Oreochromis niloticus: one gene and its partner. Each later gene encodes a partner of the first gene's protein in a complex. Links are inferred from orthologs where the notes say so. Each region holds a gene or a part of one and is shown in the gene's direction. Other genes may lie near its edges. The genes, in order: cyba and rac2.

Region 1 (16,202 bases):
ATAACTAAAGAGATTGCTCTCATGCTGCTTCTTGTATCATCAGACCTGGTTTTCCTGATTAGTATCACTTGTGAACACATACCTGCTTTGAAAATGCTTGTACACAATCTTTGGTCTCCCATCTAAGACATTTTCTTGTATGCATGCATTACTAGTTTGAAATATAAACACATTCCAGTTTCATCAAACAATAATTTAACAGTAACTAAGTTACTTTATCAAATTTTCAACATTACCAACATTAAAGTACTGTTTTATTGATGGAATAAAATAAAATGTCTGCCAGTTAGCTGAATGTATAAATAAAATCTGTAATTAATGGTGCTGTCCTGTAAACTTCCAGGAAGGTAATAATCAGCAAGCAGAGGAGGCCAAACAAAGGTACGATGTGTAATTTATCTAAAAAGAAACTACTTTGACTGAGTTTTTCCTGTATACAGTACTTGTACTTGCATAAAGGACTGGGGGTTTTTTTTTGGGGGGGGGACTTGAAAGAACATTTGTGCATGTATTATTTCTTTAGAAAGTACTTTAAAAAACTTTGTTTTAAACAACATGAATCTATTAAGACTAACTGTTCTATAACTTAAGTATCACACTGTTTTTGTAACTGAATGAAAATATTTCCATACAGCAGAAATGTGTATATATAACTTCAACTGAATAAATATATATGTATGTGTGTGTGTATGTATACCTATTTAATTCAGTCTTATTTATATAGCACCAAGTCACAACAACAGTCACCTCAAGGTGCTTAATATTGTAAGGTAAAGAGCCATTACATCAATACGGAGAAATCTCAACAATTAGATGACCCCCTGTGAGCCAGCACTGAAAGTTTTGACATGTATAATAAAACTTTCAGTGTAGCTGACCAACCTAGTATTCTTACTACATTTATATAGAAGCTAAGCAGTATCTTTTGTTTTCTTTTAGCTGGTCTCAGTTGACCAATGTAATCGTTTTCTAATTACAGAGAAACAGAAATGAGGAACTCCATATTGGCTCAAGTTCTAGACCAGTCTGCCCGTGCGAGATGTAAGTGTGGTTTCATATTTATCCTTCATCTTAATAAAACTCCTCTTTGGAAATTAATAGTGCCGTCTCATTGTATTTTATTTTTTTAGTGAGCAATCTTGCCTTGGTGAAGCCAGAAAAGGCAAATGCTGTTGAAAACTATCTCATTCAAATGGCTCGTTTTGGAAAGCTGGGAGGAAAGGTAAGAAAGTACAGACATGGGGAAAAAGTTTTCACAGCGCACTCTGCGATCCTTTGGAAAAACTAGATACAGCCCACCATTCTGTATCTTGTAGAAATCATTTTCTCACAACTTTATTTAGCAATTTCACCCCCACACTTGTTTACAATGTTTCTACAGTTGCTTTGGGTTTGTGCGCATTCATTTATGCACAGGATTTCAATCAGGTTGAGGTCTAGACTGTGACACAGTCTAACCTTGGAGTGAATTTACTGGACAGATGGTGGCAATTTCTTAACACACCTGGATGCTCCAGACCAGCAAGGTGCCAAAACCTCTGCTTTCAGAGGTGGTCACACTTGCTGACGATCATTTAAGTCCTCCTCAGTTCCTGAGGAAGCAGCAAGAGTCTACTTTGTTTTTCACTATGCATTCCTGTCAAAACTCTTTCTTTTTTTTTTCTCAGATGACTTTAACTTTGAATAGTTCTAGCACAACATATTGATTCTTGTATAATGCCAGCAAAGAAATAAACTCATTTCCACTTTTGTCAGATTACAGAATCAGGCTTGATCGAGATCCTAGAAAAAGTCAGTCAACAGACAGAAAAAAAGACAACTGTTACAGTAAGTTTCTCTGAAATGTCACATACATTTGATTTTTTTCCCTGTAATTTATTTGTATTACATTTCTAATATACTTTACCTGACAGTTCAACAGACGGAGGGTGATGGACTCGGATGATGAGGACGACTATTAACTTTCAACAGGAGCTCTGGAATGAGCAACCAAATCGGGAGCAGTTGACATGCTTTGCTGGGACTCTGACAGGATCGCTGACTAGTGTGTTCCTGTTAGCTAAACCCTGAGATGCCACACTAGCTTCTGTGTGTCTTTGGAAACTACCAACCAAGATGGAAAACAAGGACATTTGATATTGCAGCATTTGGCGGGATTGTTCAACACAATGTCAAATAACATTTTCTTTTGTAAACTCTTCAATCAAGATGCTACAAATTTCTACTGCTTATCTGACAGCTCATGACACTGTTTGACTCTCCTAGTCCTTCTCAGTAGTTTCCTTTATTTTCACCATGGTTCATGCATTTTCTTCAAACATTAGAAACTAGTTAAAATGCAGAACATACAGATGTTAATGCATTTTATATGGTCTACTCTGTAATTGCAATCTAGGGCTACTATCCCATTAGATGTTATTCTAGGGTTCTTGTTGCTGATGTGTACCTTCAGGGTTCACATATAAGTTAAATGAGCCTTAAATTGAAATATTTGTTCCTTATTAGTGGACTGTTTCTAAAACTGTCCTTCATCATTTAAATGAGTGTTAAATCTTTTTTTTAAGTTTCCAGTTAGAATTTAACACAAATTGTATTCCACTGACTTGAACATCAAATATCACAACATCAATACACAGTAACATCCCCACCATACAAAGGTAGACTGTCAGTCTATGGATGAGGTGGATGATTGATTCTGGACTTTTTTTGCTTTATAAATAAGTTCACATTTTGACTTTAATTTCAGAAGCAGGAGTTAACAGACTGCCAAATGTATCCAACTACTTTTGAAATAAAATGCATGATGGGGAAATGTGTTTTATATTAATATACTTTACTAAATCTCTAGGAAAGTCTGTCCGAAGTCACTGTAGTCACCATACTGACAGAACTACTTTTATCGGTATCGGTACCAATATTGATGTACAATATAAGAAAGCATTTAATGTACCTAAGTTGTTCATTACGTGTCAAATACAATAACTGAGTACCTTTTCAGCACTGGATGCTGCAGCTTTTCTCTATTTCACAATACTAATTTTCTGTCTCTGAGCAGTTATTAAGATTTATAATTCATATATAAAATTGCGTTGAGTTGAATAAACCTTAACACCGACGATAGGGGTCTGGGTTGGTCTTACGCTTGCCTCATTTTCACACGACCGTGGTCAGATGATTTCCCATTGGCTATTTAGAGTTCAGTACACTCAGTCCGACTCTAATTGGTGCTCGGGTTAGTCACATGTTCATCACTAACCAATCGGGTGAGTCTGCTAGGAAACGCTACAGTAAGGTGCAGGCAGCCACGCTGAGAGTGCTAAACTCGGGGAGAGGTGTTGTACAGTGTGTTTTTAAAACATTCAGGTAGTCTTATTATTGGTTTATATGCAGAGCCATGCCGGAGGAAAGAACTGAGCAGCCACATATAGTTACATGTACCGCTCCAGTGAATATAGCTGTCATTAAATACTGTAAGTATCACCTCGACTTGTGTTTGAGTTAGCATTGTTTTGTTATGGTTGTATCATTTGGACTCAAGGGAAACTGAATCGACAGTGCCTGTGTGTTTAAGTCTGACTGAATATTGGTTATTAAAGGTCTGAATTACTCTCGAGTCTATTTATATTGTATCCTAATATCAGGCTGATGACACCTCGGTTGTGCACTCCGTGTTAAAGCCTTCTTACTTTTCAGGGGGCAAGAGAAATGAAGACTTAATTCTACCCATTAACTCATCTTTGAGCGTCACATTGCATCAAGACCAGGTATGTTAATTAAAACGAAATCCTCACGAAGCCTGTGTCTGTAAAAAAACCCACTCAGCTTTCTCTATGTTTTCTCATTTCGTCGTGTGTCCCTGTCCAGAGCTGCAGAATAACTGTTGCTGTGGCTGTAAGAGTTCACTTAATGGAGCCAAAGTCTCTATAAAATAGACTGTTAAGAGAATATTATTACATAACATTACTGTTAGGATTAGGATTGCCAGCCAAACTTTAAATATTTATCTGGTGTTTTAGTATTATTTGTAGTGTGAACACAGCTATATTAAACTTTACCTGTCAACATCTATTAGATATTCTACTAAAAGAATATTGGGGAAAAAAGTATTGTGACTCTGTGGAAGAAATTCTCTGTTACTCAGATTACAGACAAATAACATCACTTTTGCACTGTCCCGTTAAACTGGGATACACAGACATACACTGTGTTTTGTGCTTTTCACATGTCTCCAGGGTTCACGTTGGACATTATGTTATATTAGTAATAACATACACTACTACATACAGCACCAGTATTTCTCTAGTTTCTCTTTTTCTCTTCTTTGCATGTTTGCTGCTTTTTTGTTCTGTTCTCTGTCAAGTTCTGTCAGTTCTTTGGTCCTTTTTGAAGAACACACTGCACACCCATGATGAGATATGCTTTTGGCAAATAACGCTTTGGGAATCATCTTGTTGGTGCAAAGATAATTTTTTATATTTTATGTACCTTTACCTAAAGAAATAAGGAAAATGTTTTGGAACTGGCTGTTAGTAACAAAGTTCTTAAAGATACAATTTAAAATTGGTTTGGCTAATTTGTCTGTTATGTATGGACATAACACTGGTTCATCCCTTGAGTTAGGTGCCTTTTTTATGCTTGAGTGATTGATAGATCGGTTTTAAGTGGCTTAATAAACAAAAACAGATCTCTCTAAAAGTGGTCAGATACAAGGACTGGACTGAAAATGTGTATAAAAGCATCCAGTGTCCAAAGTAAAACTTTGAAAGAACTTCAGAATTCCTGGAGAACTATTGCTCACGAGCACTCTTAAAAAACTACAAAAAGGTCTGGCTTCTTGGAAACAGAAAAAAGGGAGGGTTGGTTCAAGATTTTTGCACACCACTGTAAATGCAGCTTGATACAGACGTAGCTTCCTTTTTTCTGTTTAGCTGAAAACAACCACTACAGTTGCAACCAGCAGATCATTTCAGGAGGATCGAATATGGCTCAATGGTAAAGAGGAGGACATAACCCATCCCAGACTGCAGTCCTGTCTGAGGGAGAGTGAGTGTTGTGCATTATATTTGTAAAATACAGCAGACAGAAAGGAGTGCATACTACAATGTAGTTTTCTTCTTTCTTTTTTTTTTTGCTTTATACTTAGTTCGACGATTGGCACGGAAAAGGCGTAATGACGGAGACTCTGGCGTGGATTCAGCTAGTTTGTCACACAAAGTCCACATTTGCTCAGTTAACAATTTCCCCACTGCTGCTGGACTCGCCTCTTCAGCAGCTGGATTTGCTTGCCTGGGTGAGCTTGTCTGTGCTATAATTCACTTTTGCTAACATCTCCTTCTCCATCTTTCTTATAGTTGATATTGCTTCACTTAGTCCCAGTGTCTTTTTTTCCCGAATGTTCTGTGGTGCAGTTTACACTCTGGCTCGGGTGTTTGGAGTAGAAGGAGAGTTGTCTGGGATTGCTCGTCAAGGCTCAGGCAGCGCATGCCGGAGCATGTATGGAGGTTTCGTCCAGTGGATCATGGGAAACAAAGAGGATGGGAAGGACAGTTTAGCCCAGCAGGTGGAGCCAGAGACTCACTGGCCTGAGCTCAGAATCCTCGTACTAGTGGTAGGTCTGATTGTGGGTATAGGAGAGTGACACTAAATAAGTGTAAATAATGCTGATGAATTTGCGCTTTTACAAATGCAGGAATGCAAAAGTTACATCGATTTGATGCACTTCTGTCACAGGCCAGTGCAGAGCGGAAGCCAGTTGGCAGCACCTCTGGAATGCAAACCAGTGTAAAAACAAGCTGCCTATTAAAGGTTTGTTCACCCTATACTGCAAATGTCAGAATTTTAATGTATATCGATTGGCATTTTATTTAAACCCAACTCACTAATACAACACATTTCTGACTGTCATACCTGTGTCTGTGTGCGTCTGGGTTAGCACCGCGCTGAATCTGTCGTCCCGGGCCGGATGGTAGAGATGACTGAAGCAATACGAAAAAAGGACTTTGCTGCATTTGCTGAACTAACCATGAAGGATAGTAACCAGTTTCATGCCACCTGCCTCGACACGTACCCCCCTATCTTCTACCTCAATCATGTTTCACAACAGATCATCAGCTTGGTCCATCGTTACAACAAGCATTACGGGGAGACGAGGGTGAGCAGCTTTTACAGTGGTGTTATGGGAGAAATATCTGAGCAGGAACTTTATTCCTTTATACATATTTGTATTTCCATTCACTTAATTACATTTTATTTTATTGTTTTTCCATGAAATTGATTTTTCTTAACCACTCATCCAACTTGGGGTCACAGGTGCCTGTCCCAGCTGATATATGGTAAATGGCCTGTATTTGTATAACGCCTTACTAGTCCCTAAGGACCCCAAAGCGAGAGTTTAGTTTAACAGTGGACACGTTGCCAGTCCATCACTTAACACCATACCACGCTTTCACTGAAATAAAGAAAACTTACATTTCCTCATGGACAGGAAAATCTTCTTCCTTCTGCAATAGTCACATTCTGTTTATTATCTTTACAGGTAGCCTACACTTTTGATGCAGGGCCCAATGCTGTGATCTTCACTTTACAGCAGCATGTTCCTGAGTTTGTGCACGTGGTTCAACATTTCTTTCCCCCAGAAACCAACGGAGCAGAGTAAGTTGAAGGATGTTAAGCTCATTACCTTTAAAATCCTTCCATAGCAATTAATTAATCCTGAAAAATCAACATTTAAATGCAAATATAGATATATACAGTGGAAAGTATTAGGTCTTTTCATGTAATCTAAAACTGATAAATGAGACCTTTTGCCCATTAACCTACTCTGAAATCTGTGAAAGTGAAACTTCTTTTGGTTTGTTAAAAATCAAGAACTGAAATCAGTCGTTACCAGAGTGTTTAAACCCTTTGCTGTTGCATTCAACATTTTGGTCAGGTGCATCCTGTTTGCTTTAATTATCTTTGACACATGTTTACAACATGACTGTGGAAAGCTAAATGATTTAAGCACAGTTTACCAAGGCATGTGCCCGTAAAGAAAGTCTAACAAATCATATTGCATTAAGGCCCGAAGTCCAGGAAACTCTCTACAAACTGACCATAAAACTGTGGTCAAGAACACCATTTCTGAGGTTTTGAGTGTTCCCAAAAGTGCAGTGTACTCAGTAGATTAACATGTCTAAAAGGTATTTACCAGAAGTTACCTTGCCATCTAACCAAAATAAGTGATCAAACAAGAAGGGTCTTATTCAGTGAGACTGCTCTGACTGATCTTCAGAGGTCCTCAAGTTTTGAAAACCTGCTGGAACGACACCCAACTCACTGGTACAATGATCCACACACTTAACTCCCTGGACAGAACACTATTTCTGGCTAATACCAGGCACTGCTTATTATCTTGCTGAAAGCAAGTGAATCAGGGTGCTTGCATACTATTGGGGTATTTCTCCAAAGAAGGGACATGAAGATGGAGGGATGTAAGAATTCAGAAAGGGATCATGAAGATAACCTGCTTCAAATTGCATGCAACCTGAAAACACAGAAATAGCTTGAGCTAGAAACAGCCTGCCTAGAAAAATAAATCTAGAGAAATGTCTATGAAGATCTGAACCTGCAAATGCTGCTAAATGGACATCCACAAAGGACTTAATCTTGCATCTGTGTAATGTTTTACTTTTGTACTTTTGCTTATTAATATTGACCTTCAGTCTCTTTTAAAATGTGTCATTAAGTGCTTCTTTCTTCTCTGCAGCTTTATTAAGGGTCTTCCAGTCAACTGTGCTTCTCTTTCTGAGGAGCTGAAGCAAGGTATTGGTCTGGAACCCATGCCAAAGGGAATAAACTACATAATTAGTACTAAGGTATTCACTCATATTTACCCGCACAAGCAATTACTCCAACTTTGTATTATAGGCTTACTTTAAACAGAAGCTAAAAGATACAGAGGTTTTAGATTTGAATGTCTTGATCCATCTTAACTGCACAAGACTGCAGTGATGTGTCTGCTGTAGGATTGCACGAAGGGTCAGATGTGTCTTTACAAAACCTTTCAACATGCTGTTACGAAACATTGTCTTGCATTGTTCCATTTAACTAGGGCACTGAAAGAGCACAAGAGTTATCTGAATCTTTGACCAGTGAGTGCTTCATTTGAAAAGCTAATGTTTCCTAGAGGCAAGAATAAATGTAAAAATTTAAAGCTCATGAAACATATAATTAATCTGTCGTTTCATCTTCTTGTATTGCCTTCAAGGTTGGACCAGGCCCGTGTGTTGTAGAGGATCCCACTCAGCAGCTGCTTTCATCTGATGGTTTTCCCAAGAAAATGATGTGATTTCCTCCTGCAGCGAGTTCTACTGAGCAATAGGAAAGCCAATGTGACTTAGTTGCATATAACTTTTATCGCAGCAATACCAGACACCTTCCTCACAACAGCAGAAGATGATACATCTCCCTTTAAATTTTTAACTGTCCTGTTTGGTCTCTTTTCTTAACATCATTACTCCTTTGTGCTCTTTCATAGCTTTAATCATTTCTGTGTATCTGCAGGTAAACACTGATACTGCCTTGACTCTCTGGTCGTAAATAAGTGGAAACTCTTGCAGTGAGCAATGCACTGAGTCATAAATACAGATCAGACTGGAGCCCAGAGCTGACCCATTGTTCTGTCTGATCGAATTATTGTGTGTACAGTTTTCTTGTTTCTTCTTGTTAATCACCATTTCCGACCAACAGTGCATATTTAATTCATGTCAATTTTATGGCACACAATAAAATATATTTTGGTCAAGATTTCATTTGTTGTTTATGATTTTTGTCATTCCATCATCTGATTCTCATCCAGATGAGAAAATAATTATCTATTCAATCTCAGAACTTTAAAAGATTAACTCATAATTCTGGTAAAGAAGCAGCAGAAAGGACAGCAAATAATGGAAAAGAAAAAAAAAATCTTTGACAAATTCCGGTAACCTAACAATCACCGCCACAGTCAACAATCAGAGTGTGTATATCTTGCGATAAAGCCGGTCTTTCTTTTCCTTGTGTTACCTGGCAGGAGTTTTCGGTTCTTCCTCTTTCGCTGTAGCGCTGCATTTTTTCGGAAATGACGCTTGAAATAGGGATTGGCTAAGGCAGAACAAGCCTCGCCCTCTGACCTGCCCACCTGCACCCCTCAAATCTCGTAAATACATTTTTCTTCCTTGTAGAAACCATTATCACCGTCGGTAATCCACGCCGGAGGAGCTCCAGGAGGCTGCAGAGCTGCTGTTAGGTTAACATAATGGGGAAGATTGAGTGGGCGATGTGGGCTAATGAGCAGGCTTTGGCGTCGGGTCTAAGTGAGTATGAAAACTTTATTATTATGGAGGGGGGGTATTTAGCACGTTTCTTATTGTCTTATTCGGTTACATGAGCGGTACTTTTAGCCTCTTGTCTAGTTCATTTACAGAGTATTTCTGACAGCATAATAAAGCACAGTTTACCACCTCTGTGTGTGCAGTCTGCAGGAGTGTATTTTTTAAATCTTATCTTCCTGTTTTCTTCTTTCAGTTCTCCTCACAGGAGGGATCGTAGGCGTTGCTGGACAGTTCAGAGGGTGGCAGTTTGCTGCTTATGCAGTGTATCCTTTATTTTCTGTTGTATTTTTTATTGTGTCTGAATTTTGGCTTATTAAGCCTTTTCTATGTTGTAGAAATAATAACATGCTAAATAGGATTTTATTTGTGGGGGTTTTTTTGTTCTTGGGGTTTTTTGTTTTTGTTTATTTTACCAGTAATTTAATGCATACAGGAAGTTCAAATACTTATAACATGTAAATACATTATAGGCTACACAGCTAATACTAGAGCCTTTGGTATTCTAGTCTGTATTGACGTGATAGAACAGGTGATGTGATTCATCTGTCCTCCACTACACCTTAAACAGACTCTGTAGGATTGAGGTGTGGTGATTGTGGAGGCCATTTTAAGTTCAAGAAACCAGTCTGAGACTGCGTAGTGCACTGCCCAAGTGAAATGAGCATTTACAGTGTAGTCATGGAGGGACACATATGCTTATCAACAATACTCAGAAAGGCTGTTACATTCAAATTATACTGAAACAGTAACGATTCTTCAATTGCTACGCCAAATTTTGACCCCACCATCTGAATGCTGCAGAAAGAGGGTCATTGCCAATCAACCAGGCAACATTGTTTTCCAACCAAGCATGCCCATTGTGGGCTCTGTTTCCTTTTCTTAGCTTAGGTCTAAAGCTGCTGATGACCATTTGCTTTTTTTGACAGATTTTGTGCTCAGAGATCCTCCTCTACACAACATGTGATTTTAGTTTTTATTGCATTGCTGCTCGATCAGTGCAGCTATCCCTCTCCTATCTTTATCATCAGGAAGTGTTTTCGCAGCTCATTGGGTGAATTTTCTTTCTCTCTAAGGCTTATTTAAATTATTATATGTCAAAATGCATTTTGTTCCTGCCTCATAAGTGACTGAATTGGTGTTTTTATTGACAAGTAGTTGAACAAGTGTTATTAATACAATGACCGTCAAATGTTTATGATGCATCACACAGTATGTTAAGCACAACTATGCAGCAAGTTAACATCAAACCTGACCAAATGTTCTAGTGTTATGGATTTAACCGACGCTGTGCTTAGCAATGTTCACACTGACATGCAAGAACGTTATTTCTTTTTATTCAATAATGGCAAAAATACAACATGGGAAAGTACTTTCTTTTCTCCCTCAGTAGCTATTCTTATGAAATAATGGAGATATTCTCTTTTGTATTAGGAACAATCCTCTCATTCATTGTTGTCTTTGCCTGCTGAACCTGCTCAGCGTCACCAGTGTTTATCTCAATTTCACTTCTCAGACTTATCTCAGTGAGCATTCTTATCTGACTTCTTTTGGTCCGGTTTAGTTACTGCACTGTGTTTACTGATGATGATATATTGTTTCTGTTTTTGTGTCTGTGTGACACTTTGCATGCAAATAAAGAACATTATTTTAAAGAAAACACCTTGACAGATAACTAGTGCTGCCGGGGTGTTTGTGTGTCTACTTGAGTATCCCAGAAGCAAGAGGGCCAAGGGCACGAGCGTGGAGAGAACGTAAGCAAACACTGTTCGTTTGGATGTGCGCTGGACTTTAATGGACAAGTTCTAAGTCGCTCATCATTGTGTCTTAATTTCTCTCAGGGGCCAGTACTGCTTCACTGTGTGTGTAAAAGCCTTTGGACCACTCACCAGGAACTACTATGTCAGGGCATTTTTACATGCTGCGTGAGTTCATTATCTCAGCCACAGTCTTTGCCAAACAGCATTCCTGTCACTGTCGATTAGTCAAGGATTATGACTTGTTTTCTTTAGTCTTTTGTCTTCAAAATCCATTTGTTTTTGTTTTTGATTGTTTTTATCCTCAGTATCTGTGTACCTGGAGGTTTTATGCTTGCCACTGTTCTTGGATGTGTCTGCCTTGGCATTGCCAGCCTCATCTACCTTGCAGTAAGTTTGCAGCTTTTTAACCTATTTATTTTTCTTCTGTCCAGCAAGTTAAATAACTTTTTGATAAAGTTGTTAACTGAAGCAGGAACTAGCCAGTTGGTGGAAACAAGGAAATAGCAACAAGGAAGAGGTTGTTTCGTTACTGGCACCTCTGTTGAAAGATGGCCGTGTAGTTATGAAATCTGAACAGTTAGGGGTGTGACTGAATTCCTCTACACCTTTGTGGATTTTGAAGCTTTTGAGGTTGCACTGTTTATTTTTACATTCTCTAAACTACTGTGAGAGTCAAAGATAAGAACCAGTAATAATAATCTTCCTGATTTTCAGTAACAGTACAGTAACTTTCAGTCATGCTTAACTTAATCATGCACAAGCCAGTCATTGTTGATTTGTCATCTTCTTGCTTTGTAGGCCGCTATACGAGGCGAGCATTGGGAGCCCATTCTTCCACGGAAGGAGATCCGAAAACCAGTTGGAGAGAGCATCAAGAATCCTCCTCAGAATCCACCACCAAGACCTCCTCCAGAGATGCGCAGGAAACAAGCAGGCGATCTTGAAAAATCAGCCTATGACAACCCCATGTCTGTTACTGATGATGAATAACCAGTATAGTTTCAATCCATAACCAGTTACAGTTGGAGCTCTGGATGAACAAAGTTTTTCTAAAGTTTAGTGTTTCAATTGACCGGGCAACAAGTTAGACACACACCTCCTTACCTCAACTTGGAGAAAAATGTGAGGAATAAATGAAGGAAATAATTTGTTCAATGAAGAAAGAAAAATCAGACAACAGAATATAAATGTAAACACTGTAGCTACTAAGTGTCATCCGCTAGCAATTATTGTCAATTTGTTTTAAGTTGCTCTGCATCCACAATAGTTACACTGTGTTCTTAACCCTTTACGTATTTCTTAAAAAGCAGCTGATTCCAATGCTGTTTAATAGGAATAAATGGATCTGCTGTTTTTGACTGTATCTGGCTGATATTAAGCCATTTATTAAACTTTTTGTTCGCGTTTTCAATGTGTTGTAAATAAACTCTTTTTATCCTTTGACTCATTATGTGTCGTAGGCGTGTTCTTTAAATCTGCATTCTACAAGGTTTCTCTGGTAAATTATTTTAAGCAATGCAACTTCCCCATTTCGCAAACGTACACAATTTCAATATGTCAGAGTTTCCCTTTCTTGTCTCAGCTGTTTCTTCTGTATTTTTGTCACATTGCCATCAATTGTTAGCTTACAATGGAAAAAAAAATCTTAGGATCATTCATTAGGTTTAGGTGCTGGTTGTCAGACAAGTTCTGCATGTATTGTCTTTTGTTACTGCTCAACTTTGTGTGTGTGTGTGTGTCACAGCTGACCTGTCAGGCAGCTGGTTATCGCTATAAATAGACATCTGCTTATGAATAATGCATACTGTCAGATGATAATCCATGGGTTTTGTGGATTCTCTGTGGAAACCACAGTAGTACAGTTGTGCTTCTTCTTTTTAGTTTGGGGCCTAACACCAATGTACAGCATTTGATATATTTAAAAGAGGCATTTTTAATTTATGTGTTGTATATGATCGTTTTTTTAAATAATCATCAAGACAATATGATTCATATTCAAATTAATGTCCTTAAATCTTCGTATTTTCACTTTTTTTATGCGGATAGAAAAGTTGTCTGTCTTGTTTAAAAAGTAGGTTAATTTTGCCACCTCCTGTTCGACGAGAGAACTACAAACAGACTGCAGTGAGAACTTGTGCTGCATGAGATGTTGATTCAAAGGCACAGTAAGACTAGTTTTAAAATAAATTTCGATGATTCATTTGTTATTTTTGAAATTATTTAAAAGAAATTATAAACAACTGAGCTTAATTGTAATGTTCATTTTTTTTAAATGATCAAATAAATGTGGAAAATCTATAGAAACACGTGAGTAAACAAATGTAAAAATAACTTGTGTCCAACTCGTATGAAATTCAGTTACAGGTCTTCCGGCGCCCCCCGTGTGCGGCAGCCTGTTACAGCAGCTCTGCTCATTCTGAGTTTCTTTCTTTCTTATCTTTTCTTATCTTTTCTTCTCATAATTTTTCTATAACTAACGTATTAGTAATTAGACTCTGCAACCATGCACTACCGTTTTGTGCTAGTTCTGGTCGTTTTTCTTAGTTTTTTTCTACTTTTTTCACCCGTGTGTGGAGACCCAGAGCAGGGATCCTTTGTTTACAGTAAGGATCAGCTGTTAGCGCTGCGTCCCGCTGCAGTACTGCCGGCGGACAGACCCGACATTCCCAGCGAGTTGAGGAGGAAAAGACGGGGGTGTCGTGCTGGGAAGGAGCGCCGTCGCCCGAGAAGGAGACGTTATCGACCATCTCTTCCTTCTGTAATTATTGGAAATGTAAGATCTTTGCCCAATAAAATGGATGAGCTAACGTCGCTAACCTGGTCACAGAGGGAGTACCGGCAATGTAGCATCATGATGCTAACGGAGTCGTGGCTAACACCGCTAACTCCGGACACGAGTGTGACACTACCGGGATTCCAGCTGCTGCGAGCGGACAGGACAAGAGACAGCGGTAAGAGGAAAGGAGGGGGACTGGCAGTGTTTGTGAATGACAGATGGTGTAACCCTGGGCACATCACTGTGAAAGAACAACTCTGCAGCAGAGACATTGAGCTGTTAGCTGTTAGCATGCGTCCATACTACCTGCCCCGGGAATTCTCGCATGTTATCGCGATAACAGCGTACGTCCCCCCCTCGGCCAACGCGGATGCAGCCTGTGACACTCTCCACTCAGTGGTCAGCAGACTGCAAACACAATCTCCGAGAGCCCTCCTCATAATATCAGGGGACTTCAATCATGCCTCACTGGACTCCACACTGCCCACCTTCACCCAGTATGTGACCTGCCCAACCAGACACAATAAAACACTGGACTTACTGTATGCCAATGCTGAAGAGGCATACAGTTCATCACCTCTCCCTCCCCTGGGCAGATCTGATCACAACCTGGTGCACCTTGTCCCTGTGTATGAGCCCTTAGTGCGCAGGGAGCCACCAGTCACCCGCACAGTGCAGAGATGGTCGCAGGAGAGCGAGGAGGCTCTTAAGGATTGTTTTGAGTCGACTGTGTGGGAGGTGATCTGTGACGACCACGGAGAGGACATCGACAGCCTTACTACATGCATTACGGACTATATTAATTTCTGTGTGGATAACACCGTACCTACCAGGACTGTACGGTGTTTCTCCAATAACAAACCTTGGATTACCCCAGAAATTAAAGCCGTCCTCAAGCAGAAGAGGAGGGCCTTCAAATCCAAAGACAAAGAGGAGTTGAAAAGGGTGCAGAGAGAGCTGAGGGGACTGATAAGGAATGGGAAGGACAGCTACAGGCAGAAGATGGAGAACCAGCTGCAGCAAAATAACGTCGGTGAAGTCTGGAGAGGCCTCAGAACCATCTCAGGCCACAAACATCAGAACTCTCTGCCTGGGAGGGATGTGAGGTGGGCAAATGAACTGAATCATTTCTTCAACAGATTTGATTCAGCCATGAGGCAGTCTCCAACATCGGCTGCAGACTCACCCTCCCCCACTGCTGCTGTTCCACCTCTGACACCTCAGACACTTCACACCTCCTCTATTCACCCTGCTCACTCCTCCCCACCCCCATCAACAGCATCCAATACACAACCAACACAAGGCTCCAGCCTGTCTCTCTCATCCACCCAGGTTAGGAGGGAACTGAGGAGGATTAATGGCAAGAAGGCAGCGGGTCCAGATGGCATCAGCTCGAGGGTCGTCAGGTCCTGCGCGGACCAACTGTGTGGTGTGATGGAGCACCTCTTCAACCTGAGCCTGAGGCTGGGACGAGTCCCACAGCTCTGGAAAACCTCCTGTGTTGTCCCAGTGCCAAAGACTTCACGCCCCAAGGACCTCAACAGCTACAGGCCGGTGGCTCTGACATCCCACCTGATGAAGACCCTGGAGCGGCTGGTCCTGGCTCAGCTTCGGCGCCTTGTGAGCTCATCACTGGACCCACTTCAGTTTGCCTACCAGCCTGGCATTGGAGCGGATGATGCCGTCATTCACCTCATGCACCGTTCCCTCGTTCACCTGGAGACCGCTGGGAGCACTGTGAGAATCATGTTCTTTGATTTCTCCAGTGCCTTTAACACCATTCTTCCGTCGGTTCTGAAGGACAAGCTGGAGAACTCAGGAGTGGACCATCACCTCACTACCTGGATTTTGGACTACCTCACCGACCGACCGCAGTATGTGAGGACTCAGGGCTGTGTGTCGGACAGGGTCGTCTGCAGTACGGGGGCCCCACAGGGAACGGTTCTGGCTCCGTTCCTCTTCACCATCTACACTGCAGACTTCTCCCACAACTCCACCCAGTGCTTCCTGCAGAAGTTCTCTGATGACTCTGCAATAGTCGGCCTCATCATTGATGGGGATGACAAGGAGTACAGAGGACTGACTCAGGACTTTGTGGACTGGTGCCAGCTGAACTACCTCCAGATCAACGCCAGTAAAACCAAGGAGCTGGTGGTAGACTTCCGCAGGCACAAACATCCTCCACTGCAACCACTGAACATCCAAGGTATGGACATTGAGACTGTGGACAGCTACAGGTACCTTGGTGTTCATCTGAACAACAAACTGGACTGGACTCATAACTCAGACGCCCTCTACAGGAAAGGGCAGAGCAGG
Region 2 (16,317 bases), on another chromosome or scaffold:
TTCATTTACACATGGAGTAAAATAACATAAAGATCTGCTGAAGATGCATCTCAGGTTCATTTTAAATGTGACTTATTGGTGCTGCTACCATGAGGTGAAAAGACAAACGACACTTTATTAATTCTGTTTGTGGTTGTGGGACCATGGGGCCATATAAAATCTGCCCTAGGGCTGTTATTGGCCCCCGTACTGGACCTTGGACATGCCTGGTATATGTATACAGGTTACCTGGATATCATCCAGAAGGTCTTTTTTATATGTCGTGATGGTTTTGATCTCCATCTTCTCTTCTGGTGTAAAATCTGAGGAAACTAAACAAAAAGTGGAACAAAATTATGACAGATTCTGAGGAATTCTAATTCCACCAACAAGTTCTTCAAATACAACAATATCTACTCTAAAACAAACGCGCAGAACGGAGCTGTTCTTGAATAATTTGAATAATAATTTGCACACGGGAAATGTGGAGTATAGTTAAAAACAACCACAACATAGGGAAGACGGCTTCTCTGGAAGATATGTGAGACAGGTGCTGCGGTTTTTTCATGAATGATTTCTGTCACCACAAAACAGTACTGTGAATATTGTTCTCGAAAACAGAGACACTTGCAAATCCATGGAGAGTTTTCTCATATTTCCATTCGGTTAAACAGAAACAGAGCCATAGCATGAATTGTTTTTTTAAAATGATCATTAATTCTAAGGAAGAAAATAATATTTGGAAATTTGCTCGGTTATCGATAATGTTTTAACGTATTATGATTTTAGATTCCATTATCAGTCTCATGTGGTCGTTGCATCACAGGGGCTTAGTTATCTTAATGACCCAGAGTTTCCTTCATCTTCACAGTAGTGATAGACTGTTTTCCACTGGGGAAACTTGAGGGCCCCTTTTAGAGCAGCCCCCACACTTTTGAGCTTTGTCTGCACCTGTAGGAGAATTTTCAAACCAGGCTCTGGAGGAGAAAAAAGGCGCCTCCACTGGAAACAGCTGCTTCCGAGTGTCTTTGAAATATCTCTGGGTATGGATCAGTACTGATCAGTTTTAAACTCAAACATGGCCATCAGTTTGCCACATAAACACACACAATAAACAGCAATGCAACAACCACATTCATTTGCCTCACTCCTGTTCCATTATACAAACTTGAATGTGACAGAAATATGTAGAAGCTGTGGCCAGCTTAGGCGGAGGTTATACTTTCTCACAGCCATGACTGTACGAGGGTCCTCTTGGGACTGAACAGCCCTTTTCCGACGCCCACAACTGAGCATAATTGAAACATTACTGCACAGCCTCAGAAACAAAAAAGAGGCACCGTTACTATTACCATTTCTATAAATGTTCATGCCAACTCACCATCTGCAGTAGAAACATGTCTAATGATAGCCAGTGTCACTCGCCTTCACATATGCAGGGCCAGGGTTAATATCAAGGTACGGTCAATTTTTAGTAAGGCGCAATTTTTTTTTCTAATTCCTTGTGCACTTTGAATTTTGTCTTTGAGGCCTTATTTGTAGCAGAATAAGTTTGCAAAGCAGCTCCACTGCAGGTCACCGAAGTTGCATCATCTTAAAAGAGCACTGACCTCCTGTTTGGCTTAAAAATGAATCGTTAACAAAAGCGTCATACCATTTGGTGGTTTACCCAACATCCTCTCTCAGCAAATTCCATTTAATTTTCTCTGTATTTGTGTTTTACATAGATAAAGACAAAATTAAACACCTGTTTTTTAGATTTTAGAAAATGAAGAGAGGTTTCTTTAAGAAAAAAACCAACAACAAAGCAACATATTTTTATCATCAGCATAGATGATGAGATGTTATGATAAGCAAAGCAAAGTGTATGAACTCTGTGGTTCCTCAGCAGCATTCAGGCCATACTGAATGTGTAAAACCTTTTTTTTTACATTTATCCTTAGAGAAAATAAATCTTTTTTAGTATATTTAAAGGTAAAAGACTGCTAACTGCCAATACTTCCTGCAGAGATATGTTGTTTGCTGTTAATGATGTGACCACAGCGCTTCCACTTCCCCACCCTTCCTTTACACATCTTGTGCAACAAAGCTGACATGCTTAAATCATCGGAGCCTTTGTTTATGTAATTTAGATACCAAATTACCAATCCGAAAAATAACCGCTGACTTTAAGTTACGTTTTAAAGTAGTTTAGGGATCTTTGCAACTTCCTTTTAAATGTCACAGTCGGTGACGTGTATGTGAATATGAGTCTCTTCCCCATTTCAGCTGCTGAGACCCACAATGTATGACCACAGGGTTAAACAGTGAGAAGTGGTGTATGCTGAAGCGTACACCCATCACTAAAACGTCCCACCAGCTGTTCTCAGCATGCACTGAAAGTTTGCACCAGGAATAGCAGTATTTATTTCTAATGATTTGTCTTCAAATAACAGCTGTTTAGTTAGAAACATGACAGTGTGAAACTTGAAGCTTCTCTATAAAACAGCTGGGTAACTTTTTAAGATCCAATTCATGTCATAAGGTCAAGTGTGTTTATAATAAGAGTATCACACATCAGGAGTATACTAAAAGACAATTATGAAGGTAAATTGCATGAAAGAGCCTTTTAATTTTAAATATCCAGTGACAGTCTCTGAAAATTACACCTACATTGAAATACCAATAATCTAAACGATTCAGTTCTCGGTAAATATTAAATACATAAATACATATTAAAATCAGTAATAAAAAGTCTTACCCATTTGGCAATCAGTCATTTATATCCAAGGATAGAGGGGGAAAAAATCAGTACAAAAACAGCTAAACAAAGTCGATGTATCAAGGTACGCAGGCTGCCTTGGCACACAGTGAATTAACAGCTGAATGAAGTGGATGCTGTCTTTCAACCCCACCTCTTCCCTATCTGTCACAGTACCACTCATACATGAAACCGCAAACAGTCACCCTTCAAAATAAAATGGTTGATAAACGAATCTGTCAGAGATTTAATTTGATCAAAGAGGGTCTTTTTTCATGTTTCATTTCAGGATGCAAGAAGTCAACTTGTCCATTTTTGTTTTTAAACGCATATTAAGAGAAAGAGTCGGGGTAAAACACAGATGTAAAAAAAAAAGAAAAGAAAAGAAAAAAACTACTTTTTTTTCTTTTGCACGGGTTTGTGGACCTGAGATATCTGCAGATATCTTCCACTGATATGTAGTTGAATCTTCGAGTGTTTTCTGTACCTCAAGGCTGTAAAAACTAGCCAGGAGAAGAGTTTGGAAAGCATTACTATCATGTTATCATATGATGAGGTGAGCCACGAAGGCTTGATAGAAATATATTTACCTTTCCGCGGGAAAATGTGACCACAATTACAGGTGACTTTATTTAACTAAAATGTGATACTTTTATTTTGAAGGCTGTGTGGCTTTCCTGCTCTGCTTAACGCAGTGTACTCTCGCTCTCGGGCCGATTTGACAGCTGAAAGCTTGCACTGTTGAAAAGCCAACGAGTAGTTAACGGGTTGAATTTTGCATGTTGCATCCTCCCAAGGTAACCATACACAAATTGAGGTTTTACAGTAGTTTAAACACACTTTGGAAACGGCAGTAAAATTATTCAAGGAACATTAGCAGAAGGAGAAAAGAGCATATGAATATAAAGTCTTCATAATTAAACCTGACATTATAACTATTATAAAAGCGAGGTGTTAATGTGTATTCTGAATAATGTTTTTCTCAAAAAAGTGAGGTAAGAAGTCAAACAAATTTAAGAAAAACAATAGTTTAAATAACTGTGACAGATAAAGGAAGAGCAACTGTGCTGTAGATGCTCAGAGTTTTAAACGTGACAGTCAATAGCAAAAACTGTTGCTAAAGTGCCATCTAGTGGTTGTAGATGAACATCACAAATGCTGTTTTTCTTGCGTGGTTGTGTGAAGTTGTGTTTTTGTCTTGCTTAATGGAAATAGTTCAACATGTGCCGTCATCTTACAGCTTCCTGGAAACAGTATCTTTGGGCCAGGTATTGTTGATCTAATGCTTATAAACATGAAGTACAGACCCATTACAAAGAGTCCTTCTCTCGGACTTTGGTAAAAGAGCATAGAAATATATAATTGGATTCAAATAGATCCAAATATATATAATTTGATTTAGGTCGTATCTCTGAGAAAATCTAGACTGGTTTCAAGCACAGCATTACACAGAAAAAAACCCTTTCAAGAGGTTTTAATGACAGGCTTTTTAACTGTTTGGGGTAACTCGGGGCTCTCTCTGTATATATGATTGCCTTGGGGTCCATTTTTAAAAAGCAGAACTTCTCCTTTCTTTGCCTTGCAGATGATCTGCAAATATATCTGCCTATACGAACCATGTTGCTTCATCACCTGCAAACTGTACACAATGCAGCAGCTTGTCTTTTGAAAGGAAAGAAACAGGATGATTACAACAGCATTGCACCATCACAAGACCCACCTCAAAATGCCATTTTTTATTTTAAGACTACAGTGATGCCGAAAAACTAGTTCATGCTTTTAATACTTCTAGGCTCGACTATTATAATTCTCTCATAGTACTCTTAGGATGTACTAATGATCCAACATGCTTCAGCAGAAATACTGACAGGGACTAGAAAGGGAGAGCGTATTTCTCCCATAATGGCTTCTCTTCATTTGGTACCTGTTGAATCCAGAATTGAATTTAAAATCCTTCTCATCACGTACAAGGTCTTGAATAATCAGGCCCCATCTTATCTTAAAGAGCTCGTAGTATCACCATCGCAATAGAGCACTTTGCTCTCAGACGTCAGGCTTGTGGTTATCTTGTGGATATCTAAAAGTAAACTGGGAGGCAGAGCCTTAAACTTTCAGGCCCTTTTTTCTGTGGAATCAGATCCCAGTTTGGATTTGGAAGACAGACACTGTCTCTACTTTTAAGACTAGGCCTAAAGCCTTCCTTTTTGATAAAACATACAGTTTGGGCTGGATCAGGTGACCCTGAATCCTTTCTTAGTTATGCTACACTAGGCGTAGGCTGCTGGGGGCTTCCACAGTCTTCACTCACTCTCTGTGTTTATACACCTCTCTACATTTAATCATTAGTTATTATTAATATGTCTCTTTTCCATAGCATGTCTTTGTTCTGTCCTCCTCCTCTCACCCCCAACCGCTCTCAGCAGACGGCTGCCCCTCCCAAGTCTAGTTCCACTGGAGTTTTTTTCCTGTTAAAAGGGAGTTTTTCCTACCCACTGTCGCCAGTGTGCTTGCTTATAGGGGAGCCATCTGATTTTTGGGGTTTCTCTGTTTTCTTTGTATTATTCTAAGGACTTTACCTTACAATATAAAGCACATATATATGTAAATAAAACTGCACCTACTGCACCCTACTACTGAACTTTTATAGCCCTACACCCCAACTACATCAATGAGGTCTATGAACCAACTGCTCTTGTACATTCTTAAATGTAGGCTTAAAAACGGGAGGTGAGAGAGCCTTTTTAGTCGTGGCCCCTAATCTTTGGAACAACCTACCTTTTCACATTAGAGATGCCCAGTAACCCAATTATTTTAAAACACCCATAAAAACCTACTTATTCTTGTTGGTACCGTACATCCTGGCTTTTATTGTGCAAGCACAGTCTTGTTTTTTTCTATTATTGTTTTATTTGATGGCATTTTTTAAATTTATTAGAGTTCATGATTTATTGTGTATTTCAGGGCATGTTTATTGTTGATTTGTATTGTTACAAGCTGGAGAACCTAGGAGTGGACCATCACCTCACAACATGGATACTGGACTACCTCACTGACCAATCACAGTATGTGAGAAATCAGGGCTGTGTGTCGGACAGGGTCGTCTGCAGTACGGGGGCCCCACAGGGAACGGTTCTGGCTCCGTTCCTCTTCACCATCTACACTGCAGACTTCTCCCACAACTCCACCCAGTGCTTCCTGCAGAAGTTCTCTGTTGACTCTGCAATAGTCGGCCTCATCACTGATGGGGACGACAAGGAGTACAGAGAACTGACCCATGGCTTTGTGGACTGGTGCCAGCAGAACTACCTCCAGATCAATGCCAGTAAAACCAAGGAGCTGGTGGTAGACTTCCGCAGGCACAAACATCCTCCACTGCAACCACTGAACATTCAAGGTATGGACATTGAGGCTGTGGACAGCTACAGGTACCTTGGTGTTCATCTGAACAATAAATTGGACTGGACCTACAATTCAGACGCCCTCTACTGAAAAGGGCAGAGCAGACTGTACCTGCTGTAGAGACTCAGGTCTTTTGGAGTGGAGGGCCCACTCCTGAAGACCTTCTATGACTCTGTGGTGGCCTCAGCCACCTTTTACGGTGTGGTCTGCTGGGCTGGCAACATCTCTGCTGGGGACAGGAAGAGACTGAACAGGCTGATCCGAAGGGCCAGCTCTGTTCTAGGATGCCCTCTGGACCCAGTGGAGGTGGTGAGTGACAGGAGAATGGTTACCAAGCTCTCATCCCTGTTAGACAACATCTCCCACCCCATGCAGGAGACTCTGACAGCACTGAGCAGCTCCTTCAGTGGCAGGCTGTGCAATTCTCTTTTTCTGACAACATTGTATTTTACTCAGTTATAGTATGTGTATTCTATTTCTATTCTATTGTATATAGTATTTTATTCTATTCTATTCTATTGTGTACAGTATTTTTATTCTCATTCTTTTGGAGATTATGTATCTGAATCTCAGGAGCAGGACCACACCTCCAAACACACTCCTTCTGGCTCTCATCTATATACAGTAGGTTCCCCCAGTTCTGCAAGCTGATCATTCTCGTTTACGTGCCCCACCCTCCCTCCTTGTGCTCCATTCTTTAACTTCTTTGCTTCTATTTAGTACATGGAGATCTGCCAGGCCCAGGAGCCATCGCCAGTCCCCTTTGAGGCCTTCCCCAAACCGCAGCTCAATTCATGTCAAAGCATTCACCTTTACCTACTAAAACGCTGTCAAACCTAAAATGAGGACGTGGGCCCAGCTAGTGAAATTATCTTATTCTATTCCAGTGTTTTTCTAATTTTTGCAATGTAACTTTACACTGTCCACTTTCTGCTTTTTTTTTTTTTTTTTTTTTTTTTTTTTTTTTTTTTTTTTTGTCTGTCCCATTTGGTTCTTAAGCCGTCAGAATTGTTGTCTGAAGACCAACAAGGATACCAAATGGATTTATTTTGCCAAATGGATCATCATGGCATTGCCGTATTGGTCCATTTGATCGAACTTTGTTGTTATTATTTATTTTATTTTCAGTTGTTACAGATGGGACAGACATGACGGGGGGATAGGAAAGGGAGAAAGAAAGAGAGGAAGGAAAAGAAAAACAGAAGGGAAAAGGGACAGTGAGAAAGGGCACTTACAAAGACAAAGAGAAAGAAAAAAAAAATCTCCTGGATCACCTGTTGAGAGAAAAAGAAGAGAAGACAAGCAAAAAAAAAAAACAAACAAAAACAAAACAACATACTAAACACAACACCATCACGTTAATCTAGCTGAGTGTGAACAGCAGTAAATACTAAATATTGAAAGTTGTTGTGCAGCACGCAGGACAGACAGCGCACAATGTGCTTTGAAGTAGCAGCTAAGAAAGGTGTAGTTTATGTCTACGAACAGTGAACACCCGTGTGCACACCTGTGTGGATCAACGCGCTTGTATACAAAAGGTTTTCCCATGTAACGGTCTGCTAGAGGGTGCGGAGGGCCATAGCCCCGTCCCCCAGGGCATGAAGCAGGCATGGAGGAGATCCAGGCTCCAGACATCCAGAGGACCCAGAGTGTGAGAGCCCAAGGAGTACCACCGGAGGGGCATCCGTGCCACCTTCCTGGGAAGGGCTGAGGAGATCCCCAGACGAGGGGGTCACCCAGTAGCCACGGAGCAGAAGCCAGAGGGGGCTGCACCGGCGTGCCCGCCGGCTCTGCCGGCAGCCAGCTGTGCCAGAGTGAACCGAGTTGCAGGCCCCGAGGCCGGAGGCCCGAGGGCCCCCTTTGCCCCGGAAGAGGCCTGACCGAGCGACAGGCATCGGGCCCCGCCAAGTAGCCACCGGGAGTGAGCCGGTGCATACCTGAGCGCCCAGCCCCGGACACCAAGAACCACCAATGCACCAACCCCTGAGGGCATCAGTTACCAGCAGGGAGTGTGGTGAGGGGAGATAGGCCTCCACACTTGGAGGGCCTGGGAGTACCCAGGGAGGTGGAGTCTAAGACCCGACCTGACATATAGACACAGACAAACAGGCACACACAGACATAAACATGCTTTCCCACCCTCATGCACACATATACAAACACTCAGCACTTACCCAACGTAGGGACAGACATACATAGACATGTACACACAATCATACTCCCCAAACATACTCTATGCCCTGGGTCCAGGTACCCTCGCTCCCAGAGGGGGAAACGGCACCCAGACCCAAGAGATGTGACCCTTTTCCCCGGGGTGGAGGCAAGCAGACCGCCCCAGGCTCCGCAGCAGCAGGGAGGCCAATCGGACAGCCAACACCTCCTCCCAGCCCCCCACCCCGATGGCTAGTAGAGAACGGGGGTGTGTGAAGACCCCATACCTCCCTCCTCCCGCTCATGTGTAGTGTTGCTGCGTGTTGTTCTAAAGTGCATTTAAAACAAGGGAGGGCATGGTGCTGCTGCCAGAGAGCAGCAGGTGTTAGCACGGCCCCTCCCGAGAACCCTCAATGTCTACATGGATTTAAAATTGAGAGGTGGGCACCGGCGCCAGAGGTAGGGTTGAATACACAGACCGTCCTCTGTATTTATTCTTATTTTATTTTATTCTAATTTTTGCTTCATAACTTTTGCACTGTCCACTTTCTGCTTTAACAAAACAAATTTCCCACACGTGGGACTAATAAAGGTCATCTTATCTTATCTTATCTTATCTTATCTTATCTTATCTTATCTTATGTATATTTTGTATAGCATTCATGTGCATTACTTGTTGTTTTAAGTCTTTATAAAAGTAAAGTTTGACTTGATTAGATGCATGTCTTTGGACTGTGAGGAGAGGTGGGAGTGCCCATGCATACATTAGGACAGCATTTAGGATGCACACAGAGGGACCACAGCTGGATTTAAATCCAGGATCGTATTGCTGTCACACAATAGTGCTGACCACTGCACCACCATGCTGTTCCTTTTAAATTTACAGACACATAACTTGAAGTTAACCGACAATAAACTTTTATTTGCAGGTGGTTACTTGTATCACTCACACTGTGAGGACATAAATGTGTTTCATAGTATCAGGAGTGCACCAGGAGTGATAACAAGGTTTAATGTTGTTTTAAGATCACCATTAGACACATACTGCAGAAAACACCAGGAAGTGAATGTGAGTCAGTGTCAGGTTGTGTAAACCAAGGGAAATGTAACCGCGCGTGTGAGTGCATGTCTTTAATTAATGAGGTTTACGGAATTCAATTTTTTTTCATAGCAAAATGAAATTTGAGGTAAATTAATTTTAGCTTCCGTATGTTCCGGACATGCTGGTCTGCATTGAATGGTAAATGCCCAACAGTAGAGGAAGTTTTAAATAAAGCTCTTATTGTTAGCAGAACCTTCCTCTTTGTGGCCATTTCACAGCTTCTTCTCTGTTGCAACCGAGACTGCTTTTCAACACCCTTCACATTAATTTTTTTATGGGTGTCTTATTGGTATTGGTAGCTTTTCAGCTTAAGGTCTGTTGTTTGAAAGAAGAAAAAAACAAAACAGGAAGAAGGAGATGAGTGCAAAAATGAAGGGAGAGAGGCTGAGTAAGAAAAAAAGAGGCAGCAAAAGAAGGGGGAGGGAGGTGTGCAACAATTTCCTGTAGTTGCATGCTCTTCAGCGTCTCTCAGCCTTCCTCTCTGAGTCTGTTTCTTTCAGAGTGAAGAGCACAGACGAAGCTGAGCGGAACAGGATGCAGGCTATCAAATGTGTGGTCGTGGGAGATGGGTATGCTATTATTTTACTAATTTTAACCAGTGTGTTATAAATTAAAGAGGCCTTCAAGCTTTGAATTACACAGTGGTCGCCCAGCTGACGTGTAAATGGGGATTGGCCCCAGGCTCTGAATTTCAGGGTAATCAGATAGAGCTGTCAAAGGTTGTCACATGGTAGGAGCAACAGTTTGACCCACTACAGCAAGATTGCTGTTCGGTTCAGCGTAAAAGCGTAAAAGAAACTTCTGTACTTGTGTTTTATGTCCAGTGTTAACATGTAGATCTTAAGGTGTGTGTTTGACAGCGGTGATTCACACTGAGCGCGCTGGATGAGCCATGCAGGCCACAACATGCAGGAAAATGCTTTAAGGCAGCAGAACTCCTCTTCAAAGATGAAAATCCGATAGATGCCACAAAGATCAGTTCAGAAAATACAAACAAAGTGGGAGAAAAGTATGACTAAAAAAAGAAGAGGCAATAAAGAAGCAGAAGCTCAAATGTGTAAATGATTAACCTCATTGTGTTTTTGACATCTGAAAAGTTGTTGAATTTATTTGCCCTAAAGGGTGAAATGTGCTCGCGTAAGAAGTTTGGATGAGCCACCGTCTGCCATCAAATGCGTCTTTCGTTGAAGGTGGGGCAAAATGGCTGGCTGTCAAAGTGAAGGAAATTGTAAAGCGGAAGTCCTACAGTTGTTTCTCAAAAATAGTTCAGTAAACACTTTAACACAGACAGTTAACCATCCAGAGGTAGCACACAGGTACTGCAGTGTGTGTGCAGAGCTTCCTGGTGTGTGACACTGATTTAAAAAATTGCAGAGAGAGAGAAGCCGTAACAGTGACGCGTGTAAATATTTGGAAAGGGAATCATGTGGTGTTGGCTCTATTTCATTTAGCATGCAACATTTACATAAAACCTTTTTTTTTATTGAAAGCCTTTGATTGTCAGCTACTAAAAAGACCTCACATGAAAAATAACAGTTCAAGTGATTTAAACAAATGCAAAACATGATTTAAAATTTGACATTAAAAAAAAAAATAATTGTGTGTTTTCTCTAACATTTTTTGTAGTGTTCAAATATGCGTCAGCTTGAGAACTCTATGAAAGGAGCAAATGTATACATATATATATATATATTTGAATTTATGAAGGCACCTTCATTGTTATGGTTACAGTGACAAGTGACAATGGTTACAGTGACTACTACAGAATATAGAATAAATAGATAATTAAATAACAGTCATAATTAATCAAAAAAAGCATCAATTGTTGGCTGTCAACAGGAAACCAACAGTAGTCAGGTTTTATGTTAACCAACATATTCATACTTTGATAAATTTCTTGTTTTGTTTAAATAACTTGTATTGTTATTTTTCTTAAGAAGCTGTTTTTTAGTAGCTGCCAACCAAAAGCTTCCATTAAAAAAGGTTTTATGTAATTTAAGTGTCCTAAAGTAAATAAAGACAGTTCACTAAAAATAAGTGACAAAACATGTAAAGCAAAAAAAATAAGCAATAATAAGTCGCAGTTTCTGACGTGAATATAAGCTGCTACAATAAGCACTGCAGAGGTAAACAAGCTGAACTTTTTGTAGATCTTATTTCATTACTTTTGACTCCACTCCAGAACTTGACCTAGATTTCAGTTCCACCTTTATTACTTGTTTCTTTACAACTAGTGCTGTGTACAAACTAGTACTGCAAATATGACGATACCAAGTAAATACAGGGCCAGTACTGCGGATACCAATACTCACACTTTTAACCTATAATAGTTTATATAGGGAAGTGCAGTGCGTCACGACTTATGAGACATTATTAGGGACATTATTAATTTGCAAATTCTGAACACATTTTAATGATTTTTACTTTCCACAATAATTAGATAAAACAACAAAACACACCTTTTAGTTTCTCATGAATTTTCAAACTGGGTTTTTCAGAGACCCAGAATTTAATGTTCATGTCTCAAAAGCACTTTGGGTCAGCTTCTGTTGTTTGAATGTTCTATAGGGTATAAATAAAATAGACTTGCAGTCAACACAAAAAGGTTTAGACGTTTTTTAATATGTTGTTTAAGGAATATTATGCTATGTGCAAAAGAAATAATTTATTTAACAGATTCAATGGACTACAGACTTAACTTAAAGCACTGAATCAATCTGATACCAATATCTGTGTTGGTATCAATATTTGGATTAATTCGTCCACCTCTATTAAAAACACAACACCAAGACAAAGGCAGTCGGTTCACTTCAGTGGATTACACAAGCAGGAGGAAGTCATTCTTTCTCTTTAAAAGAAAAATTGAGAAGAGCTTGGAGATGTGCCCAGTTTTACACCTGTGGCCACATGAATAAAAGGAAATATTGTGAAAAGGTTTTCAAAATGTTGCCTTTTGAAATATTTGAAAGATACATTGCAAATAACCCAGCCAGCCCTTTTGAAAGTCTATGTATCATTTTTATGTGACAGCCAGAAAGCTAATGATGGTGGTGGTAATTTTCACATTGATTTCTCATTTTTTAACCTCTGCTAGGCGCTAACAGTGTATATATAGATACATACGCACAGTAGTTAAACTTAACTGCTGATGGAGAAGAGGAAGTCGGTTTCATGTTGTAGGGAAGTCCGCTGCAAGAGTCGTGGTATTTACAGTTTAACAGCACAAGCATTTAAAAGGCTTTTAAAATCTTCACTGGCTCAACAATAACTGGCAAATCTTCATGTGACATTATAGCAGACAATCAGTCATATCTCTGATTACGTTTTAAAGATTTTTATCTCGAGTATAAACACAGTACATTTCAGCAAAAAGTAAAATAACTTCATGAAATAAGAAATTTGCAAGCTGTCTTGACACTTGCGATGATCTTTGGCATAAGTAGAGAATTTGGAGCTGAGGATGCAATCAGAGCTCATCAGCTGTGTTGGAAAATCCATTTTCCTTAACTAACTCCAAAAAAGGAGACGTTGTTGAACAACAATGTGAATGATTTAAGCACATGGTTTAATTAGCAGCCAAGTTAATGAACATCCTACAGTCTGATGATTGTATCATTAAAACCTTACAAAATAAATGGGTTACTTTAAAGGTAAATGGGCCAGCAGGTTATAAATGTTAAATTAAATCTAACACTAGAAAGAAAAGAAATTTGGAGAGCCACACCACAGCTAATTGTATTGTACATAATCTGACAGGTTTTCAAGATAGTCCTTGAAAAGTAGAGATGAAGGCAGCTAACTTACTGTTTCAAACAAAGCATCATTAATGTGCCTGAACTGAAATAAAATGAAGTTTCTGTCTTTTGTGTTTCTTATAGCGAAGTTGCTTTTTCTCAGAAAAAGCTAACATTCTGTTGCTATCTGCTGGCAGGTCAGTTAAGGACTTATATGTATACATATTCACTTCCCTCTACAAGTGTATATAAACATTTCTGAAACTTTCATGGGTGTATAAGCAGTAGCTAGTTGTGGTGGTTGAAGCTGACCTCTGTCAGGAAATTGTCTGCTGCTGCTGTTTTCATGCCTGAAGTCAAAATGGCGGATGTTAGAAAGTGGCTCATGGTGCCGTCACATTCCTAAAACTCAGAGAAAGGTAATTTACCACAACTGTTTGCTGCACATATACACTCATATATATTGGCTGCATAAGACTTTTTTAAGGACTTGCGAGCAGAGAGTTGGACTTCTTGGGTATATTAGACGTTCTCTTGCATGTCTTTTATCCTGTCTTCCTTCTCTCACCTGGCAGATGGCCCCGCCCCTCCCTGAGCCTGGTTCTGCTGGAGGTTTCTTCCTGTTAAAAGGGAGTTTTTCCTTCCCACTGTCACCAAAGTGTTTGCTCATAGGGGGCCACATGATTGCTGGGTTTTTCTCTGTATGTATTATTGTAGGGTCCACCTTACAATATAAAGTGCCTTGAGGCAGCTGTTGTTTTGATTTCACGCTGTATAAATAAAATTTTATTTAATTGAATTCTCCTGCTAAAGTGAGTGCTGAGTTAGCAGTTATACGACTACTAAAGCACAACAGTTATACAGCTACAGATATAATTATTTGTAAAATACAGTAAACCTAATGAGTAACAAAAAAGTCAAGCCCCCTTTGAGACATTAAAGTTTACTCAGTTTTATTTTTTCTTACATGCAGCTGTAGAGCTATGCAGCTAGCTAACTGACACCATTTGGCCTCAGTCTGGTTGAAACCATTCATCACCATTTATTGACGTTTTATTCTTTTTAGATGGGACCAAAAGAAATGAAATGTCACAATAGGTTAAAACGATAGGATAAAACATGTTCATGGAAAAGCAGATTATGAAGCAGATAGAGAGAGATGCGAGGCAGAAATCTTTTTTTCTTTTTTTTGATAGCTCGGTGTGGCTAGTTCCTGTTTTCAGCTCAAACCGATGCTTCTGAAACAGCGCGGTTCCTTTTTGACTCACACACGACCACAAAGCACACACATGTAATGCTATACTTATGAGAGCTTTTAATGGCATTATTTAATGTGTGACCCACATCCCTGACTCAACCTCTGCATTTGACCTAAACCCTGTTTTAACCTTAACAGTGAGTCTAAATCTTAAACCCACAGGAGCCTTTGGAAAAAGTTACAAACTGACAAAATTTCATCAGACTTGACCTCTAAAGCTCAGACTTGTCCTCACAGAGATAGAAATGCTCACACGCACTCTGACAGCTTTTATAGCTGTTATCTGCGTTGCTCATATCACTACTGAGTCATCTCGTCAGCAGGGCTGGTCTTTTTAAAATGCTAACTTTTGGAATGACTGTCATTTTGTAGTTTCTATGTCATGCTTTTTTTTCTAGTCAGAACATATTTAGATTTTATAATTAATAAAAAATAAAATTAACCAGCTACATAGTATAAAAGTTTGTTGTTGTTGTTGTTTATTACAAATGTTTGTGCTGAAAAACACTAAAATATATACTCATTACACTTGTACTATAACAGCAGCCATGAAAGTAAAGAAACGTGCTAACAAGTGTACCCACAGTGGAAGCGTCAGTTGATAATGATGATGTGTCATCCCTTCCATATTTTTGTATAACAACTTTTAATAATATACAATATAATAATACTTAAAATAACCAAAAAATATTTTGTATAAGAGAAATATGCCAACATTTTATTTGATTTACATATTAAACATAAAAAGTTTTTGGGGGGAGACAATGGGGGAAGCTCAATTTCTTCTAGATAATAGTTCAAAGTTCCACAAAAGTATTAATCTTATTGTGGGATTTTAAAATGTTTCTATTGTGTTAATCTGGTTTGAGTAAAAGGTGGGAGTATATGAGAGTTCTGAGCAAAACCATCGAGAGGACCAGTACAAACCTGCTTTATTTGATAAACGCTTGTACGTCACAAATGTCTTGTATGGCACAGAGTCACAGGCAGACTGAGAAAAAGGACGAGCCGATGGGTTCCTTGCAGACTGGATTTGCTTGGTTATTTATGTAAGCAAAAAAAAGGTTATTTATCAATAAGTGTGATAAAGACCGATCCAATCAGGGATTCTGATCTCCGTCTGTCAGATAAGAGACTCTACAGAATTCTGTTTGATGAAAGCAAAAAGGCTGTAGCCACTCCTATTAGCTTATGACCAATCAGATGTATCCAGAGTGTAATCAACATGAAATATGAGTGCTGCGGTGAAACCAGGGCTCGAGTTCTGTGTGCTGCTGTTAAAATGCTGGCAGCAAATCTGTGGAAACTAAATAAGAAGCAGGCTAGTCGATACTTGCTGGATCACCTTGCAGGCAGCCATGCAGTTTCATCACTGTGGATGTTGGGACAAGCTGAACACAGATCACTGACTTTCTGCAAATTAGAAACACAAAAACGCTGTTTACAGATGTCAGCGTGTCCATGAAATCTGTATTTGTTGAATGTGTTATTTTTGACCGTGACAGTATTTTCGAACAATGACGTCAACAAAGGAACTGGGCGAGTTGCTCACAGAATAAATATACTGCACTTCCAGAAAAACTTTAAACTTGGAGTGTGACTGATGTGTATAGGCGTGCATGTTGCATCATCTCCTGTTGTACAATATATATATATGTATATATATATATATACAGTATAGTAACATTTACTGTCTCTTGTGGGGGTTTTTGTCATTGCCTATGTCTCTTTCCTGACATCTCTGTGTTTTTACTTGTGTTATCCAGAGCTGTGGGTAAAACATGTCTTCTCATCAGCTACACAACCAATGCCTTCCCTGGAGAGTACATTCCTACTGTGTGAGTACTACAAACACACATCTACACACACAGAAATACAGACATAAACACTCTCGCGGTCTCTCTGTGAGGCTCCTACAGGTACATGCACATGTCTTCATGGTACACATGATCAG

Evidence for each region.
Region 2: cyba (region 1) and rac2 share a complex: the UniProt entries of both Homo sapiens proteins name them as parts of the phagocyte NADPH oxidase complex. The link is inferred for Oreochromis niloticus from reciprocal best matches to the Homo sapiens genes CYBA and RAC2.

The regions. Positions count from the first base shown.
Region 1 is NC_031965.2:23,052,495-23,068,696, forward strand, and holds cyba (cytochrome b-245 light chain), read left to right. Parts: upstream 1-9,125; 5' UTR 9,126-9,277; coding exon 9,278-9,335; intron 9,336-9,546; coding exon 9,547-9,616; intron 9,617-11,029; coding exon 11,030-11,104; intron 11,105-11,191; coding exon 11,192-11,275; intron 11,276-11,415; coding exon 11,416-11,497; intron 11,498-11,908; coding exon 11,909-12,100; 3' UTR 12,101-12,558; downstream 12,559-16,202. Other genes in the region: pdcd5 (programmed cell death protein 5), read left to right, coding at 344-381, 980-1,041, 1,131-1,222, 1,756-1,827, 1,914-1,961; mvda (diphosphomevalonate decarboxylase), read left to right, coding at 3,395-3,470, 3,694-3,764, 4,929-5,043, 5,144-5,290, 5,409-5,608, 5,731-5,805, 5,933-6,151, 6,536-6,651 and 2 more. UniProt on the Homo sapiens protein: Subunit of NADPH oxidase complexes that is required for the NADPH oxidase activity that generates, in various cell types, superoxide from molecular oxygen utilizing NADPH as an electron donor.
Region 2 is NC_031971.2:8,476,858-8,493,174, forward strand, and holds the start of rac2 (ras-related C3 botulinum toxin substrate 2), read left to right. Parts: upstream 1-9,785; 5' UTR 9,786-9,905; coding exon 9,906-9,940; intron 9,941-16,129; coding exon 16,130-16,201; intron 16,202-16,317. Other genes in the region: cyth4b (cytohesin 4b), read right to left, coding at 229-311, 2,720-2,738. UniProt on the Homo sapiens protein: Plasma membrane-associated small GTPase which cycles between an active GTP-bound and inactive GDP-bound state.